3 linked regions of the Stegostoma tigrinum genome follow. The protein of the gene in region 1 interacts with the protein of each later gene in a pairwise test. Links are inferred from orthologs where the notes say so. Each region holds a gene or a part of one and is shown in the gene's direction. Other genes may lie near its edges.

The links. The genes of interacting proteins can lie anywhere in the genome.
Region 2: the proteins of bag3 (region 1) and fam189a2 interact in a two-hybrid assay, tested with the Homo sapiens proteins (2 studies listed by BioGRID and IntAct). The link is inferred for Stegostoma tigrinum from reciprocal best matches to the Homo sapiens genes BAG3 and ENTREP1.
Region 3: the proteins of bag3 (region 1) and litaf interact in binary tests that used the Homo sapiens proteins (3 or more experiments, as listed by UniProt). The two-hybrid records come from large-scale screens. The link is inferred for Stegostoma tigrinum from reciprocal best matches to the Homo sapiens genes BAG3 and LITAF.

Annotation. Positions count from the first base shown.
Region 1 is NC_081373.1:25,968,269-25,975,108, forward strand, and holds the start of bag3 (BAG family molecular chaperone regulator 3), read left to right. Parts: upstream 1-3,820; 5' UTR 3,821-4,142; coding exon 4,143-4,325; intron 4,326-6,840. UniProt on the Homo sapiens protein: Co-chaperone and adapter protein that connects different classes of molecular chaperones including heat shock proteins 70 (HSP70s), e.g. HSPA1A/HSP70 or HSPA8/HSC70, and small heat shock proteins (sHSPs), e.g. HSPB8.
Region 2 is NC_081356.1:28,054,922-28,062,082, forward strand, and holds the start of fam189a2 (endosomal transmembrane epsin interactor 1), read left to right. Parts: upstream 1-4,150; 5' UTR 4,151-4,453; coding exon 4,454-4,768; intron 4,769-7,161. UniProt on the Homo sapiens protein: Functions as an activator of the E3 ubiquitin protein ligase ITCH in the ubiquitination of the CXCL12-activated CXCR4 receptor. Thereby, triggers CXCR4 endocytosis and desensitization, negatively regulating the CXCL12/CXCR4 signaling pathway.
Region 3 is NC_081376.1:5,010,646-5,017,512, reverse strand, and holds the start of litaf (lipopolysaccharide-induced tumor necrosis factor-alpha factor homolog), read left to right. Parts: upstream 1-3,856; 5' UTR 3,857-3,984; intron 3,985-6,867.

The DNA of each region.
Region 1 (6,840 bases):
AGGGTTAATGGGTAAAATTGTAATCTCATGACGCCAAGCAGCAGTGACCACTATTCTAGTTTATCTGAACACTTTGTTAACTAAGGGCTAAAGAGTTGAAATTGTAATCTCATTAACCGCATCTTGTTTGTTCAGTTCTCTGTAAGTCTTATTACTATTTTGTGGCTATGTCACATGCCCATTGCCTGATCCAACTGCCAAACGGAACGATTTGCATCTATCCAGATTTGTATAAATACTGTGTGTGTATTATAACCCTTTCCTCTTCTCAGACTGACAGTTAGGGTATCAATACCTTGCTGTCAGTAGGAAAACCCGCCCTTGTACAAGTAGAAGATATTGTTTGTGAGTTCCAAAAATCTGTCTGTGTGGTCCTCAGAGAACCCAGTCATTTAATCTTTGACATAAAATTGGCAACGAGGGTGCGATGCCAATAGGCTGACAACATCTGCTAGTGAATGAAGTGAACTGTGTGGTCGTCAAAGAGCCCAGTCTTATTATCTTTGACACAAGCACCAGCTCAGAGATTGACACTACATGTGATCTAACCTGTCAGAGTGAGGACGTAAAACAAGTAACAAAATAACTTTGATGACACCCTGGTAAATAGTGACTGCCTAGTTCCAGCAGGTAACAGATCCTGTGGCAGGGGCATGAGGAAATCAGCAATATAGAAGAACTGCTAATCAGATATATCCAAGAAACCAATTTTCAGCCATTACACCCAGTATTCTCGGCGTGGGCTCCTATCAGCAGGCCCCCCTCATTTGCTGTTATCTAAGAGGATCACCTACTGCTCATGTGGTTGCTGCTCTTTTGTATCAGCTCATCCTCCATCCAAATGAAATGGTCCATAATGGAATCCATTTAAAGAAATTTGATCTTACTGGGGCATGGTGCGGGCTTGGGGATAACAGCAATGTCAGAAAGAAGATCGATGGAATTTGAAAATTTCCCTCCAATTTCTTATTTTCAGGGACTTGGAGAGACTGATTCTGGTGCCAAAATGATGTTGAAGTCCGACAAACATTATAGAAATGGACTCATATTTTAATGAGGCTCTCGCCTATCCTGACTCATTGGCTAAAATCTGTGGTTAAAATGGCAAGAATAGAGTGATCCTGCAGTGACAGTACTAATTTGCCGTCCCTGTTCATGCTTCACAGAGAGAACTAAAATTCTATAGGGTACATTAATGAATTAAATATGTTGCAGAACTGAAAAGAGGCTTACTTCAAATTTACATCAACATCCATATAAGCCTATAATTTGTGATTGTATGAAGCATGGCAATTGCTGTAGACCTTAAAGATGGTCTTGCTAAGGGATCTATCAGTCTCTGTGTTTGGACCTTTACCTCTCTGGGCAAGCAATTGGGTGGAATGTTGTGTAATGAGAATTTTCAGCAGGGAACTGCAGAGATGACATCAAGATGCTAAACTGCTCAATCACATTAAAGAATTTTCACAATCAGTAAACCAGGAAGTGGAACATTCTGGTAATCAATTCCCATTAATTAAAATCAGAAGGCAAATAATGATATGAGGTTAATGAAATGAAGATCAAATACAGACATGTAAAATTTAAAAATTGATCATAATGAAGAAATCAAACAACATTGTTATTTTCCCAGGGTGAGTTAGTTATTCAGAAGTAGCTACCATCCTGATTGCCAGTAAGTATCCTCAAAGAACAAGGTCGAATTTATTTTTTTTTCATTCTAATCACTCAGTCCTTTGGAGCAGGTAGATGTAAACCCAGGCCTCCTGAGTCAAAGGTTTGGCCACTACCATTGCATCACAACAGCCCTAAGATATACATAGTTTGGGGTTCATCACCAGCCTTTTTGGGGAAGAAAGGAGTCAATTCTTTTTACATCCATGGATTTCACTGATGCTTGATCTTGCGGTGGGTGAGGATCGAGGAGAAGCATCACGAACGATTCAGTACTTTTGTGTTAATCATCATTTGTACTAATTCCTGTTGGAATTCAGATGCAAAGATGGAAAATCAATGAACACGGATATCTTATCTTCAAAAACCCTTGATCTAACCCTAGACTGAAACCTAGCCTCAAAACATGACCTTAACATAACCCAACCCCATGCCTAACTCTGAGATAATGGGAACTGCAGATGCTGGAGATTCCAAGATAATAAAATGTGAGGCTGGATGAACACAGCAGGCGTCAGCTTTTGTGCTCCTGAGATGCTGCTTGGCCTGCTGTGTTCATCCAGCCTCACATTTTATTACCCATGCCTAACTCTGCTGCCTTTAATTTTGTATCATAGAATTTATCTTCAAGGCTAACAGCTAAGGTGCCCTTTCCTTTCTGCTTTCCTTGACTCTCTTAAAGAGGATCCTTATCAAAACAGTAATACGGTGACTGGTCACCACAATATACATGATTCTATCATCTAGTATAACAGAAGCAAAAACAGAAATAGCTGGAAAAGCTCAGCGGATCTGACCATAGAGAGAAATCAGAGTTAATGTTTCAGATCCAGTGACCCTTCCTCAGAACTGTGAGGAAAAAGTTGTTTTTTTATGCAGAAGATAGGGTGGGGGGAGGTGGTAGGGAGTAAATGATAGGTGGAGATAGAGCCCAAAGAGAGAAGAAGAATTGCACAGACAGAGGAGTGGATAACGGTCAGGCTAGGAAAATGAATACCAACTAATGGAGATTATTATTGGCTAACAATGGGTTGTGCAAAATTGCAGACTATGTGATAACAAGGTCTGGTCTGTGGGGATTGTCTAGGGGCATGGGAGAAGGTACTTCAAGCCCTAAAATTGTTGAACTCGATATTGTGTCTCGAAGGCTGTAGAGTTCCAGCAGGAAATGAGATGCTTTTCTTCCAGCTTGTGCTGAACTTCACTGCAGCACTGTAGCAAGCCTGAGACAGAGATGTTGGCCAGTGAATAAAACGGTGTGCTGAAGTAGCAGGCAACTGGAAGTTCAGGTAGCTGCTGTTTCCACCACCTCCAGTGGGATACCACCACCAAAGACATATTCCTCTCCCCTCCCGTGTTAGCTTTCTGCAAGGACTGTTCCATCCGGGACACTGTGGTCCACTCTTCCTTCACTCCCAACACTCCCCACTGCACCTTCCATACACTTGCCCATTTATTTCCTCCCTCCTCAGTATCCAAAGGCCCAGCCATATCTTCCAGGTGAAGCAGCACTTTACCTGCACTTCACACAATGTAGTCCACTGCATTTCCTGCTCACAATGTGATCTCCTCTGCAATGGGGAAATGGGTGATCACTTTGCAGAACATTTACCTTCTGTCTGCAAAAAAAATCCTGTGCTTTATCCACTTACTGTTTACTCCTTACCCATCTCCTCCACCCTATCCAGCATAAAAACCAACTTTTCTGAGCAACTATCAGTTCTGATGAAGGGTCATCTGACCCCAAAACGTTCACTCTGATTTCTCTCCACAGATGCTGCCAGACCTGCTGAGGTTTTTCAGCAATTTCTATTTTTGTTTCTGATTTCCAGCATCCGCAGTTCTTTCGGTTTTTATAAATCTGGTTTGACAGGTTCGGTCTTTTACATATTAATTAGGCAGCGAATTTAGCACCGCAGCCCGGCTGATGTGATTCAAATGATTGTTTTATTTTGGAAATGCACCTTATATGGCTATACCTCATTCAACCAAAATGAAACTCAACTTTCATGATTTATAATCCTTCGAAAAAGTTTATGCCACTTGCTAAAACTTTGACCATATTAGGGTATAGTGGGATCTGGAGCTGTCTCTTCAACCTAACAATATCTGATGAATTAATCAGGGGTGCCTGAGAATTGATCCGAGCTGGGAGAGACCGTTTCTGGTCAACATATTGAGGCGTCAAGCTGTTTGCCATTTGGAAAGGAGCAGGGGGAGGGAAGCTGAGGAGATTTTGCCAGTAACCCAACCCTGGGTTACTGCAGTTCGTGCACAGCAATGGGTTAGTAATGCGGCTTTATCATCTCGCCCAATCGTCTTCACAGGAGCAGAGAAGCAGCCAGAACATTCGAGCCTCCGATTGCTCACTGCTCCCAGATCAAATTCTAGAGACTTTCCAGTGCAGCCCTCTGCCTGCCCGTGTCACTCTATAAATATTCCAGGGGAAAGGGGAGAGCGGACTAACCATGGCTCAGTTCACCATGCCCGGCTTTACAATGAAGAATTCTCCGAATCAGGCGGCCAGCGGCGGCGATGCCCTGCCCCCGGGCTGGGAGATCAAGATTGACCCTCAGACCGGCTGGCCGTTCTTCGTCGATCACAACAACCGGACGACAACGTGGAGTGACCCGAGACTGGATCTGCCGAAGGTCAGTGCTGTCTGTCCGTCCCCCCCCCCCCCCCGGAGACGGTTTCCGAACACATTCTAACGAGGGGCTGTTTGTTTTTCTCTCTCTCTCTCTGTGTGTGTGTGTGTGTACATGTATGTAGGTGGGGGTAGGGGTGTGTACGTGTTTGACCCTGGAGGGTGTCTGGAGGGAGAGACTGTAGTGTTTTTACAAATGCAGATCAAGCCTTTCTGTCTGTGCAGGGGTGACAGGGGACACTCTCCTCCCCAGCTTCAGTCTTTTGTAACGAACAGCCCGATTAACAAAACAAAATCCCTCCCTGGAGTCGGGATTGTTTGCTGCAAAAAGGTAAATGCTCCATCAGACACCTTTACTCAATCCATGCTCCCCTCCCCCAATCCCCCCCCCCCCCGCTTTTTAATTTTTGTTTTTAAATGAGAGATAAAGCGAAACCAACATTGACAGCAATTTGGCCCCGAACAAAAATGGCATGTTGATGGTGTCAGTGATGAAGATTGGGTTTTGGGATGACGCACTGCAGTCCGATCTGATGAAACATCGCCTGGGTAACCTTTAACTTACGGCCTGGCCAAGGTTTCGAGGAAAGGGGCTACATGTGCAGCGTGATCTGTGCAAACCCTCCCCTCTTGCTGTGCTTCAGTTTCTCGGATCATTCACCCCTCCCCTCCCTCCTCCCAAACAAAATAGCAGGCCCTAAGTTGAAAATCCGAGCAAGATTTGGGTCTATCTGAGTTGATGTCGAACTCGCTCGGTGCCTGCCTGGGCTCAGGCAGGGCCTGGCAGCTGGGCACCTTGTTTAGCTGCCTGAGTCAGTTGTCAGGAGAAGGTTTGGAGACATGAGGGATCTGTGGAGCTGCACAGCTGTCAGCTGTTAAAAACGCTGGTGGTGACACCCAGCACAGCTCGGAGGCACGTAGTGAAGTTTCTACCATGTGAAGTAAGCTACCAGAAACTGCTTTCCTTTTTTTTCCAGTGCACATAGATTTGCTGCTCTTTCCGCATGTACTGCCGCCTTTAAATCCACCTGCAAAATCGGAGACATGAAGCAATGCGTTTCAAGGCAAAAATAACACTGAGCTAATTACAAAGAAAAATGAGGCAACAGATTTTAATTGATGCTGATCTGAAGATCATATGCTGATCCTGTCACACTTATGACCAGGATACATAGCTAGGAAATGTGCATTCCTTGTTTTAACATATATTGTAGCCTAAGAAAAATGGGCAAAGTTGTGAACAGTTGATGGAAGCTAAACAACTATGCTGTCCTAATCTTGTATAAACCAAGTTTTAAAATGAGGTTATTGTACCTAAATGAATTTATGATAACCTAAATGCCGAGACGTGCTTTTTAAAAAGCAAAATTCCAATATTTTGTCCCCTGAAGAATTTTATATTCCCTGGTAATAGGAGGAAGATGGTGCATTCAGAGTTATGAATGCTTTTGTGGCTACAGTAATCAAGCTCTACAGGCAAGGCTAGTTAAACAACCTGAGCTGGTCTGCCTCCTTTTTGCTGGAATCCACTGTATTGGCTCAGAAATGAACAAACTGATCAGCAGCAAGTTCTGGGCACAGGTGTACCTGAGCTCCAACTTTGAACTGATTAGGAGTCATGTGCTGAATCACTGAGCTGTGAGTTTGGAGAATGTTTAACTTCTGAAGCAGTTGAAGCACATATCTATTATTCTTGGCTGACTTTCATATATTGAACTAATCTGAAACTGACATTGAAGTTTGTGCACTTATCCATTTCCCATTTAGTCTCTAACTTCATTGGGAGTGTTAGCTCCAGTGTTGGAGCAACCCCTGTTTCTTTCTTCTCTTTTTTTTTTCCCTTTTCTTTAGTCTAATTCATCTTAAATGTTATAATTCACTTGGATTCACTTGTGGTAATGCTGCAAGTTAATAATCTAATTACTATTTGAGTGTAAACAATTCCAACCCGCTTCACAAATCTATTGAGTTCAAGCCTTTCGAAATTTAGGTGTAAGTGGCTGTTAGGCATCTTTACGGTCAACGATGCCAAGACATTAATGTGACCTACTGCAGGACAGTACAGGACGGAATCTCCCCTATGATTCCTAAATGACTGAGTCATTGCTCTCAGCTTGAAGGGACACTAAAAGGAGACATTTGCTGAGAGGAAGCGAAAATGGAATTGAGTGTACATAGATCACCCTTTTACTCTGGTTTCAACAACCAGCAGGGGTGACTGGGAGCTAGTTTGTCTACCAGTACTGTTGAGAGTGGTGAAAGCAACCCAAAAATATTAAAAGTAAATTTAGAATTAAAACTTCAACCTAGATAACAGCAGCATGTGTGCTAAATAGTGATGTCAACTTAAAAGTGTCCCAAAGTACTTTACAGATAAAGAGTTTTGTAGGTAAAATTATGAGGTCAGACCATAACTCTAGTTAGTGAGATGCGTTTTTTTTGGGACTTTTTAAAGTTGAAGAGAGATGGAAATATTTTGAAAAGGTGTTTTGCACAGCACGACAAGTAAGAAAAAGCTA
Region 2 (7,161 bases), on another chromosome or scaffold:
ATTTATTAATTGAAATTTAATTTCCCTAGCTGCCATGGTGGGATTCGAACCCACGTCACCAGAGCACTTAGATTAGTCCAGTGGCATCATTGTCATTTTACCCCCTACTATCTGTGAATTAAAAATATTGGCTTCTTCTGTTTGAAAGGAAAGCTTTTCGCTTTCTCATACACCAGCAGGATGTAATAGCAACCATTGTTTTACAGCACATTTGTCTAATAGGATTAGCCAATGCCATTTTGGGCATTACACTATTAGTCATCATTAAATTAATCTTCTGATTATTTTTAAACTTCAGGAGCTCCATTTCTACCAAAAGTATAAGCTTACACTGGATTTTGTTTTCAGCCAGAGTTACAGTGCTCCTAGTTGAGTTTGAACTCCGCATTCTGAGAGTGTGCATTTACATTCAGCCAAGTGGTATATTCTCCTTTAGTCTCTGGCAGTTTTGAGCTGTTATTTGTCAAAATTTATGAGCTGAGTGGACAACTTTTGAAAGCTTTAATCAGTAAAGTTCCTTGCATGTTTAAAAACGAAGTTATGCAGGGTGCTATGGCGGGGGGGTGTGGGAGTGAATGTGATTACATTTCTGTTGTAGCTTCTGTTTTGTAAACCTCAAACTGCGTTAAGCTGAAAGAATTTTTTCTGCTGCTAAATTTTGTTTAAAATGTTGAATTTTGAACATTTCCCATCTCACCAGTGTTTGTTTTTACATTTAGCAACTGGAATAATTACATTTTCTAACATCTAAGAGACGGAAGGACAATACCTAATCAAAGTTCCCTGCAGTGTGGAAGTAGGCCGTTCAGCCCACTGAGTCAACAACTGCCCTCCAAGGAGCATCCCATGCAGACTTAACCCCCTACCCTATCCCTGTAACCCTGCATTTTCCATGGCTAATCTACCTATCTTACACATCCCTAGACACCACGGGCAATTTCCCAACACCATATCACGTAACCTGCACATCTTTTGGACTTTAGGAGGAAACCCGTGCAGATATGGGGAGAACATGCAAACCATTGAGCCACTGTGCCACCGCAAACTTCTACTTTGATTTTTTTTCAAAACGAAACATAGGCAAATGAATCCAATTTTGAAAACACACATTTTAGGAAAATGAATGTGATGGAAGATGAAGGAAATAAATTATGGTTAAGGGCACTTCTGGACCCACCACTCATACTTGCAGAGTGTCGGGGCTGGATGAAGCATTAAAGATGTGGTGAAGGGCTGGAGACAGGAGTTGATTAGATTCTGCACAGAAGCAGCAGTGGAAGGATAGAAAATACCAGAAAGAGTTAGGCCTGGATCAAGATGGAAGGGAAGTAGGAATACTCTAAGGAAAAGGATGTCATTGACAGTCAGATTCTCATGCTCATTGCCAGTGATCCCATTAACATTTCATAGGCACTTTACCTCCCAGGATGCCCTGGTCAACTCCTCTGCTCCCAGCACCTCCCCACCTTACCATGTAATCTTAATCCCTTCTCATACCAACCAATATCTCTCATCTCAATGTTCAGATTAAAATTAGTGTGGGACAGATAAAGAAACAAATAGAACTGCCTACTGAGAAAAATACCGTATTACTGAAGCTATGTCTTGGACTCAACAGGTCAAATGTAGGAACGACAATTTCAAACTGTCAAACAACTTACAGTATAAATAAAAGGAATTGGAATAAGGAGTGATTTAAAAAAAAGGAAGAAACGGCAATATGGAGTTAACTGGTAAGATCTGACGTCAAAGGAATCGTTAGGGACCCATCTTGGAACCTCAACACCAATTCAAATTTCAACTTAGTTCATAAAGGTGACTGCATACAAGTCAAAAGTTTTATTTATTTGGCTTTAAAAGACTGGAGATTGATGCAGATAATTTGAGCATACATTAAATTGTAAGTGTTTTCATTCTGCAATAGTCTTGATATTAAATTAACATACGTATCCTTGTTCCAATCTTGTACTCTCTTTCCCAATTCTTCAATTTATTTGTTTGGAACAGTTGCCTGTTCATTCAAAGTCCCAAAGTTTGACTTCCCCTGCTGCTCTATTCTCAGACTGTACCTTCAGCAAGTGGTCATGCTAAACATTTCATAAGATAAATGTGCAAGGTTCATGCCTAACAAATTGCAGCCATCATTAGGTGCTCTGCTACAGTAAAAACTGGGTGCTTATACCTTTACTTAAAGAGTAGAACCTGTTATCATGTGGAGTGGTTGTAATAAATAGCACAGATGCATTTAAGGGGAAACTAGAGAAACACAAAGAATAGAAGAACATGCTGATTGGGTGAGATTAAATAAGAAAGGAGCAGGCTCATGTGGAGCATAAATATTGGCCAGATGGGCAAAACAGATTGTTTCTGTGCTATAACATTCTCTGTAATTAATCTTCATTTTAGCACTTTATGCCTTCTGTACTTCTGTTATGTCTTGCTATCTAGAAAGATTCCATGATGTGTTTATCCATTGTTAAATGCAAGACAGCATGAAATTTTCCAACAATTGCTGAAATCACTCCCGAATCATACACTTTTACATTGTGAGTTTCCTCTTTTGCTGCTATTGAAAACTATGGTAACCACGCTGTAATAATTTCTAGCTTAGACTATTCCAACACTGTCCTGGCCAGTCTCACATCTCACACCCTCTACAAACTGTTGCTCATCCAGTAACACTAAGTCTTGTTCAATCAGTGGCTCCCAGGTCCAGTGACACCTTGATTGTAAAATTCACATTCTACATTGTTCAAATCTTTCCAATGCCTTAATCATGTGAATTGCTATGGCAGCCTCCAGCCCTACAAATCTCTGGGTTCTTCGCACTCTGTCAGTTCTGGCTTTTTGGAATTGCACCAAGTTTATTTTTGCCACCAGTGCCCGTTGTAGCTCCAGTTGGCCTGCAAACTCTGGAAAGCCCCCCCCCCGAGTCAGCTCTTTAAAGCCTACTTTGGCCAAGTTCTCCAGTTATCTGACGTATGAGACCACATGAAACAGGAACAGGAGTAGGCCATTCGATCTCTCAAGCCACCTCTGCCAGTCAATAAGATCGTCGCTGATCCAACATTCCTCATTTCCCTGCACTTCTTTCCCCCCAGCCCCCATTACTCTTGTTCCCCTACTGATTACGGATCTATCTTAGCCATAAATACACAACACGACTCTACCCCCACAGCTAACAAAGTGTGGAGCTGGATGAACACAGCAGGCCAAGCAGCATCTCAGGAGCACAAAAGCTGACGTTTCGGGAAGGGTCTAGGCCGGAAATGTCAGCTTTTGTGCTCCTGAGATGCTGCTTGGCCTGCTGTGTTCATCCAGCTCCACACTTTGTCATCTTGGATTCTCCAGCATCTGCAGTTCCCATTATCACTGTTACAATTCTACCCCCACAGCTCTCTGGCAAGGGGTTCCAAAAGACTCATAACCCACAGAAGAAATTCCTCCTCACCTCAGCCTGAAATTGGTGTCCCCTTAATTCTGAGACTATGCACTCCGGTCTTAGACACCCCCCACGAGGGGAAAACACACTCCCAGCTTTTACTAGCCCTTTTAGAGTCCGACGTGTTTCACTGAGATCACCTCTCATTCTTCTAAACTCCAATGAGTCCCCAGCATTGTTCTGTCTTCTGCGGCTGGGACTTTGACGGTACTCTCGTGAGGATCGTCGGATGTTTTATGTTAATCGTACTGTCGATTAAAAACGTTATTATTTTACAGCCAACAAACCTGTCTGTCCCTTTCAGGCTTCAATCAAGATCGTAGTCAAAACTAGACACCTTGCTAGGGCTGCATTTTTGAAATCGAACAAAAGAAATTTTATGTCAATAATACTGACATGCTCGGTATTTTCCACTGGTTGTAATTTTCCCCCCGATCGGTACGGCTGCAAGGCGACTGGGACTAGTAATTCACGATAAACGAGGTCGATAAACAGGTAAATACATAGTGGAACACATGGAGCCCGCAAAAGAATTAAATACAAGTTTTTTAAAAAAATGTTCAGTTAGGTCAAACTAAAAACCTCAAGATTGGTTTTGAAAATCTAAAAATTAGGTTTCCTAGTCTTGTTTTAAACCCACAGCTTGTGGCTGCCGCGGGGGGGGTCAAAGTCTCCCTTGTAAAGTGACTGGCTTCTGTGTGTGTGCCAGATCTAGTAATGCAATCCCAAACTCGCCTGGAGTTATTTTAAAACTAGTCAACTCAGCCACTTTGGAAAACAAGGGGAGGGTTAAAAAAAATGTTGGGAAAGTGGGACGTACCGCGACTTGGGAGAGCGATGCATTTCCTAAAAGGCATTTCCGAGCAAATGGCTTTTGAGTGAATTGAGGGATTGAAGGGGTTTACCAAAGTAAACGCAGTGATTTTCACTGTTGGGGTGTGACTGTGGGTTACCAAGTCCCGCAGTCAACCTTTTACTGTCTGTCTGTCTCTCTCTCTCTTTTCTTGCCGGATGTCACTGCCAGTGCTGTTGCCCACTTCTTGCTGCCCAGTGCAAGCCACCACACCGAGCGGGGAGGCACCGCTTCGGAACCGGGCTCGGTGTGTGTCATGGCCCGGAGCGCTACACTCCAGCAGCAGCAGCAGCAGCAATACGAGCCCGGCACGCCAGCCGCTGCACTGCCCGCTCTACGGCCGCTCCCTCTTCGCTCTGGGACTACTCCAGATCGCTCTGGGTTTCTCCATCGTGTCTCTCAGTTTCGGGGCTCTGTCCCTCACCGAGTCCCCCAACGTCAGGAACTCTTGTCCCTTCTGGGCCGGCTCCTCGGTGAGTTTAGCAACAAAACTTTCTCCATAAGTATGACACTGAATTAACTCGACTATGCCCAAGCAGTTCCCAGGTTGTTGTACTCAGACTATTGCATTTACCAAATCGGTTGATTTTTTTGGGGGGGGGGGGGGGGGTGGGGCGGAGTCCGGTTCGAAGAGCCGCAGGTTTGCATTTATATAGCGCTTTTCGTGGTCTCAGACCACTCCAAAGTTGCTTCTGAAGAGTCGTCAATGTGGCAATGTAAAACAGCCAATTGGAGCCCTATTCCCTCAAACACCAACGTGATAATGACCAGTTATTTTACTTTTTTTTGTGATGGTAACTTTTATAGAGTTTTTTTAAAATACAGATGGGCCGAACGACCTGTTTTGTGTTGTGAATTCCACGCAACTGTTGAGTTCTGACCTCACGTCCCTTTTGCTGTCCGGCCTTCTTTCTCAGTTTCTTTGACTCGTTCTCTTCTAAATTTGAATCTTACAACACAGAAGGAGGCTATTTGGCCCTTAGTGTCTGTGCTGGATCTTTAAAGGTGTTATCCAATTAGGCGCATTCTCATTATTCTCTCCCTGGAGCCCTGCAATTTATTATATCATTTGTTTTATTTTGCTTCTCATTCCTTTGGTTTTAAACAATATTCTATGCAGACATTATCCTCACCTAACAATTTACATTTACATGTGCAAATTAAAGTTATGCAGTTTTAATGCAATTGTGATGTATCTTTCTGAAGTTGCTGCTCCTGTAACATTTTAGCAGTTGCTACTTAGAGTGTTCATCTGTGAAATTCGTGATGGATCTTTTTAAAAACAGACATGGTGAACCAGCAGTTTTAACATTTCTAAATTTTAAAATCCCACTGAAGTTGTGAAGTATTGGATAGCATTGTGGGGATCTTGTACTCGTGACACCGTGTGTCTTATAGAAGAGGATGCATGTAATATTCACGCATTGTCAAAGAATAAAGAATAGCAGGAACTTGTGTGGGATGATAGCAGAATTTCTGGAAATGTATGGCATATTGCTCAGCATCTAAAAGAATGAGCTGTGCCTCACAAGGTAGCATTCCTGCCTCTGAGTCAGAAGGTTGTCCGTTTGAGGCCCACTATGTAAACAATTAAAAAATACAAGCTGACACTTGGAATACAATGCTAAGGGAGGGCTGCACTGTCAACTGTGCTGTTTTCCGTCCCAGGTGGATCTGAGATCCCCGGGACTAATTTTGAAGAACTAAAGAACTTTCCTTAGAATCATGACAAACATGATGTCCTTCAGTCACAGATTAATTGTCATGCTGTCTGTGGAAGTTAGGTAGAAGTGACTATGGAATGCTTTGAGTTGTCTCAAGGTTGTGAACGGTGCACGATAAATGCAAGATTTTTTTCTCTCTTTTTCTCTTCAACAACTTTCCACAATTCCACAAAGGAATATTTACAGCCAAGGCAATCCTGTTTGAAGTGTAGTCACTGTTGTAATGTCAGAAACACTACAGCCAATTTGAGCACAGTGAAAATGCATGAAGGGCAAAGTGATAACTACTAGATGAATTGCTTTGGTAATGTTGATTTGAAGGATAACTATTAGATACCAGGAAGAAATTCCCTGCCCTTTTGAAATAGTGCCATGCAGTCTTTTACACTGAATGAAGAGGATTCACAGGGTGACAGTTTAACATCTCATTCGGTGGAAGGTGTAATCATTTAGGTAGTGCACCCTTAGTAGTTTTTTTAAATTCACTTGTGGGACACGGGCATCACTGGCCAACCAGAATTTTATTGCCCATCCTTAGTTGCTCTTCAGAAAGTGGTGGTGCGCTGCCTTCTTGAACCTCTGCAGTCCACGTGATGTGGGTTGACCCACAATGCTATCAAGGAGGGAACTCCAGGATGTTGACCCAGCGACAGTGAAGGAACAGAGATGTATTTCCAAGTCAGGATGGTGAGTGGCTTAGAGGGGAACATGCATTTGGTGGTTTCCCGTGTATCTGTTGCCCTTGTGATTCTGGATGGAAATGGTTATGGATTTGGAAAGTTCTGTTTGAGGATCTTTGTGAATTTTTACAATGCGTCATGTGGATAGTACAGACTGCTGCTACTGAGCATTGGTGGTAGAGGAAAAAGATACTTGTGGATGTGATGCCGGTGAAGTGGGCAGCTTTGTCCTGGATGGTGTCAAGCTTTTTTTTAAATTGATGTTGGAGCTGCACGCATCCAGGCAAGTGAAGCAGTGTTTCATCGTACTCCTGTGCTTTGTGGATAGCAGCCAGGCTTTGGGGGGAGGTTGGGAATTGAGTTACTTGTTGTAGTGCTCCTAGCCTCAGACGTTCTCTTGTAGCCACTGTGTTTATGTAATGAGTTCAATTGAGTCCCTAGTCAATGGTAACTTCCAGGATG
Region 3 (6,867 bases), on another chromosome or scaffold:
AGATCAAGAGAGATGATGGGCGATGGTTCAACCTGAGGGTCACCATGTCTTAGACACTTAGCAATTTTTAATAGATGCACCATAGAAAGCATCCCATCTAGATGCATCACAGTATGCTATGGTAACTGCTGTTCCCAAAACCACAAGAAACTACAGTGAGCCATAATCACAAGCCCTGTCCATCATGCAAACCAGCCTTCCATTCTATGACTTATCTGTACTTCCTGCTGCCTCGGGAAAGCAACTAACGTGAAAGACCCTCCACAGGCAGATCACACCATACGAAGTATGTCAGAGTAGCAAAACAGAGTGCAGGGTATAGTGTTACAGCCGCAGAGCAGGTGCAGAGAGAGAGATCAACATTAACATTTGAAGGGTCCATTCAAAAGTCTGACCCCAGCAGGGAAAACCCCTTCCGCCCCAGTTATATTCTCTTCATCCTCTTCTGTTGGACAGAAGATATAAAAATTTGAAAACATGTTTTATTAGATTCAACGGCAGTTGTTGTCAGACTTTTGAATGGACCTCTCAAATGTTAATGCTGGTTTCTCTCTCTCTGTACCCTCTCTGTGGCTGTAAAACTGTACCCTGCACTCCGTTCTGCTACCCTGACATACTTTGTATGGTGCGCTCTGCCTGTAGAGCATGCAAAACAACACTTTTCACTGTATCTTGGTAAATGTGACAACAATATATCAAACCAAGACTCAAAGGGAGAGGTCACGAAGTGGGTCCTTCATTAGTAACTGAACCTGTGATATTGACATTATTCTGCATCACAGAGCAGCTATCCATCCAACTGAGCTAACTATGCCCCTGCAGTCATTGTAGTGTTTTGTATAATAGATATCAAAGTATGAGATGAAAGGGTAGGGAAACCCCTTGTCCCCCTTTAGTTTACTTCACTCAGTTTGCATTTAGCTGATTGATGTCTAACAATGAAACATACTTATTCTCCTCATACTTCCTAGTCCTGCTCCTTAGTTTTATTCAGTGGTCTATAGCATATTCTTGATGTTAGTTTGGAATTTTTAAAATCAGGCTGTTTAATCAGAAGAGGCATTTTTTACAACTTTTTACATACCACATAATCAGCTTCTTTTACCTCCCAATTGTCACTGAAATGTCATCCATTTGGCATTTTAAATGTCAATATTCCGAATCTATCCTCATTTTCTCTGGTTGGAGTTATTCCTAGCTCAAATGGAGACGGTTGTGGCTGTTGGGGGTGATCATGTCAACTCCAGGACATCTCTGCAAGAGTTCCTCAGGGTAGTGTCCTAGGCCCAACCATCTTCAGCTGCTTCATCAATTACCTTCCCTCCATCATAAGGTCAGAAGGGGGAATGTTCACTGATGACTTCACAATGTTCAACTCCCTAGATTCTGTAGCAGTCAATGTCCATCTTCAGCAAGGCAACACTTGCCCTTCCTCAGGCAGCTCAGGAAATTTGACATGTCCATAAGGCCCCTCGTCAACTTCTACATATGCACCACTGAAAGCATACTGTCCGGGTGCATAACGGCCTGGTACGGCAACTGCGCTGCCCAGGACCATAAGAAACTACAGAAGGTGGTGTGCACAGCTGAGAACATCATGGAAGCCAACCTTCCACCCATGAGCTGCATTTACAGGGCTCAATGCCACAGAAAGACTGCCACCATCATTGAATACCCATCCCACCCTGGTAATGATCTTCTACAGTCTCTTCCATCAGGCAGAAGATATAGAAGCCTAAATTCACATATGAGTGGGTTCCTGAACAGCTTCTTCCTGGCTGTTATCAAACTGATTAATGGACTCTAGTCTCAAATAATGCTAATCTTGCTAATGTTGATCTGCCTAGCATGCACACTGTGCAATATAACCTGTATGCTCTGTCTAATTCTTTTCACAACCCCTGATTGTACATCCTTGCTTACTATGATCTGCCTGTACTGCTCATAAACAAAGCTTTTCACTATCCTTCGGCACACGTGACAATAATCAAGACATGGACAATTATCAGGCTTGTGCTGATAAATGGCAAGAAACATAAAAATACCAGACAATACCTACATCACATAAAAAGGCCTTTAATCATCTCTCTTTGATATTCAAGAGCATTACCATTGTTATCCCTGGGGTTAGGATGAACATCCCGAGGGTTTCCATTGTCCTTTAATTGAACTGGTCCCGCCATATAAATCCTATGGCTGCAAGAACAAGTCTGAGAATGGGAATACTGCAGTGAGCAACTCACCACCTGTCACCCCAAAGCCCTCCCACCATCTACAAGGCACAAGCCCCCACTTTGCTGGATAAGCACAGATCCAACAACGCTCAAGAAGTTTGATTGGCACCTCATCCAACACCTTCAACATTACTCTCCCATTGCTCAGGTACAGCAGTCTGGACTACAGCGATGTACACAATACAGAAGCTGCACAGCAGCACCACTAAAATTCAAATCTTTCAAATCTGTGGCTTCTCCCATCAAGAGGGACAAAGGCAGCAGATACATGGGAACCACTTGCAAGTCCCCATCCAAGCCACACACCAAAAATATATTATCGTCCCTGCTGTGCTGCAGGATTGAAATCCTAGAATTCCCTTCCCAACAGCATTGTGGAGCAGTGGCTAAACAAAATATCTCAGCACTACATTCTGCAGGACAATGGGTGGACACTATATGTTGGCCAGTCAGTGACACCCACATCCCAAGATTGAAGGCTTTTAAAGTCTTACGGATGTGACTCCCCTCGCATTCATACCGTTCCATTGTCCTTGCCGAAGATGTTTCCTCCGTCTTATTGTACAACATTCCTAGTTCCTGCAAGCTCCTAGTTTGAATGATTCTTAATAGCTGCCTCAATGACTATCACGTTCTTCGACCAGTTTTGCTTTGTAAGCTCTACCTACATAAGAGGTCCACTTTATTCTGCAAAGAATCACAGAGTCTTAGAGCTCTCCAGCACAGAAACAGACCCTTCGGTCAAATTCATCCATGCCAACCAGATATCCTAAATTAGTCTAGTCCCATTTGCCAATATTTGGCCCATATCACTCTAAACCGTTCCATTTCATGCACCCATCTGGATGCCTTTTAAATGTTGTAACTGTACCAGCCTCCACCACTTCCTCTGGCAGCTCATTCCATACACGCACCACCCTCTGTGTGAAAAAGTTGCCCCTTACGTCCTTTTTAAATCTTTCCCTTCCCTCCTTAAATATATGTCCTCGAGTTTTGGACTCCCCTACCCTGGGGAAAATACCCTTTTACCCTATTCATGCCCCTCATGATTTTATGAAGTTCTATAAAGTCACCCCTCAGCCTCTGACACTCCAAGGAAAATAGCCCCAGCCTAACCCTACAGCTCAAACCCTCCAACCCTGGCAACATCCTTGTAAGTCTTTCAAGTTTCACAACAACCTACCCACGGCAGGGAGACCAGAACTGAACACTAGGTGCAATATGTCAGCCTTCCTGCTTCTATGATGCTTCTTGGCCGGCTGTGTTCATCCAGCTCCACACCTTGTTATCACAGTATTCCAGAAGTGGCCTACCTAACGTGCTTTAGAGATTCCAAGCAAGTTAATGTGAGCACTTTCTTGTCCCATTGACAGTTCATTGGACACAAGTTGGCTAAAAATACTTGACAGACATTATTTCATGCTTCTAGGGCTTGAACTCGGGTCTCTTGGTTCAGAGGTAGAGACATTACTGCCGTGTCTCCAAAGCCCTCCAAGGCAGGGAATTTCCTGAGGTCGGCAGAAGTGCTTGACTGATTGGGATTGGCCATTAGTGCCCGTGAGCGAGCTGGCAATCAGCTAATAGCGATCGATCCTCGCCGCAGTGCGGCGTCATGTGTTAAATAGAGTCAGATGATACTGGCTCATACTCAGGGACAGAGCTACAGTGTGTGGTTTGTTTGTGTTTTATTATACGGGTACAGGGGTCCCTTTACACCGCTGTCGGACGTGGTGCATTTGAAGGATTTGAGGTAAAGGACTCGTTGGTATTTCTGCAATTCTCTAGTTCGTTTGCTGGGCTTTGTCGAAGTGTTTTGTTTTTTTTTAAGTAAAAATTTTGTACGATGATGGTGTGTGGGTTAGAATCAGTTGTAATGTTGTAAACGTTCTGGAAGAAAGTGTCTCGTAGCCCACCCCCGCCCCTCAAATCAAGCAATGTTGTGTATGTTAATGTTAGGGAGGGTGTTTGTTTGAACTGAGTCAAAAGTGACTTGTTCACATCGTTGTATTTAAAATAGTTTGCTTTTTATAAATCCTGGTGCCTGGTAAAGAGATGAAAGTTAGTACATCTTACTTAATTAGTCATAAGACTCTGTATTAGGTCAACTCCTCTATTTTTAAAGCTAGCTACCACGATGATGTGAGAATAGCTAACTACTTTTAGAAGTGTCTTTACTTTTCACGGAAGAATCCACAAATTTCTCAACTCGCAAAGTCCCCTAAGCGTAGCGAACTGATCTCAGCTCGGTTTAATTTGAAATTTGTTTTCACCGGTCATTAAGCAAAGTGCATTTACACTAGCTAAAATAAACATTGCCATTAAAGCATACGCAGTTTCTGTTAAATAATTTAAGGGTGGGGTTGGAAATAGGGTTATTAGGCTATCGCTGTTTAGTACTAAGTAGCCAGAGCCTAAATGGAAAACGAACTGTTCGTGCTCGTTGTGGATTTTGAATCTGCATTAGACTTATAAGGAAATGGAGTTCTTTTAAATTAAAAAGCTGAAGAAAAGCCACCAGGATTTGAAATGTTAACTCGACTTTCTTTGCACAGACGCTGCCAGACCTGAGTTTTGCCGCAACTCTTTTTTGATTTGAAAATAAACTTCTAGTGTCTTATGCTTTTGCCACCTTTTTAATGGGTTAATACACCTGTAAACTGCAAGCTGTCTATAGGGGATTGGTGGAATGAACATGACCACTCAAGCCAATGGTTTTTAACTACTGTACAATGTTGTGAAGTTTGTAGGTAAACGTTTGTTTGTGAAAGCATGCTGCTTTACCTGAGTGTGGAGGCTGGTGATAATGGGGACTGCAGATGCTGGAGAATACGAGATAACAAAGTGTGGAGCTGGATGAATACAGCAGGCCAAGCAGCATCTCGGGAGCACAGAAGATGATGTTTCGGGCCTAGACCCTTCATCAGAGAGGGGGATGCTGGTGACTGTGTTTCTGATCTTTGTGTGCCTCTTTATTGAAGGCAGTATCTGCTGGGTAAACTTCCAGAGCCATATGTTATCCAGAGCAGTATGGTAGGTGTGTGTGGAGTTGTTTCTCACTGAAGTGTATAACAAGGTTGTGAGCTGCCACTATAAACTACACTCTGCTCTTTCTCTTGAGACTTGCTGCCACCATCCTCTTCAGGAAACTAGATCTACTTTCTCCAGTGAGATGGAGAAAAGCTGCTTGGCCTGGCCAGATTCTGTTGAGAACCATCTGGTTTGTTGTGGTAACAATTACAGGTTATGTTGATGATTGCTAGGCATTAGTCATTAAGTTTCTCAAACAAATGTTGAGTCCTTTTTATTTTGATAAACTGTTTTGTCCACTAGTCTCAATCTTATGTTTTAATATGAAGATCTCTCTAGTAGGTTTTCATAGCTGAACTAATGTACAGGACAATAATCTCCAGATAAAACTTCTGCCATGAATACAAAGTCAGAACTTTCTGCTAACACTTGGGTGCTTTATTCATTCACGTTAAATGTGATAGTAGGGTTTGCGACTACCTCCATTATGGGTGGTGTTTATGGCTGTCCAGAATTAACCTTTCTGACTCGAGCATAATAATGTAGTTACTGAAAATCTAGATCTAGCTATGGTGTAGATTGTAATCAGGGTCAATAGGATGTAAAATGTTGAATAATGCTGAAGATCTTGAACTCAATGACTATGAAAGGCTGAGTGCTGTATGGGAAGCTTCTACCATTTGAGCAGTGTGACCCATTATTGTCACTGTCAATCTCCTGACTTTCATGCATGTCTTTTTAATGTAGTAAGATGCCCCAAGGTACCTTCCAACTGTTTCTCTTAACACTTGACCCTGAGCTAGCTGACTGGAAGCTTGGTTAGAAAGCCATGTTTTAAGGAGCTGCAGCTATGGCCATCACTTAGTTTTTCAGACATGGTATGTGCTGATTGCCAGTATTAAAGTAGATTGCTGGTAGAAGGGATTTGATTGATAATGAAATGATAAGTTGGTGACCATTGGTACAGTGTTTGAATAGGATTTGGTGTGAGTTAATCTAGGCAGCAGTGTGAAAAATGTTCATGCTGTATTAAGGATTTTGTGAATTGAAACTTCAGTATTATAACATCCATCACTAGACTGGATGCTGGAGAAACTGTACAGATCTGGCAGCATCTGTACAGAAAGAATTAATATTGAGTCCAGTGACCCTCCCTAATAGAATTGTATAACTTGCCTATTTCAAAATTGACCATAACTTGATTGCATCATGCAACAGGCTTAATGAGCTGAATGGCCTAATCCTAATTGTGGCTACTGATGTTCTCTTGAATCTGTGGGATAGTGTTTTGTTCGGCACTTACTGATCTTAATGCTTTTAAGCTGCTACCATTAATGAATGCAATAAATTTCTCAAATCAAGTTTGAGGGAAGGCTAACCTCAATTTAGAGTACAGGCAATCTGCAAATTAAAATTACATGCTACTTAACAAGCAACATTTTTATAACTGAAATGGTTTTTCAGTCCAAAAACACTTTTTTCAGGACAAATTTTCAGACTGCCCACCTGAATTGAATGGAGGTGGGTCAGAGTTGCAAAGTGCCACTCTATCAGGAAATTTTGTATTTCTTTTGAAGTGGAGGTGCTGCTTTGCTTGAAGCCCAGT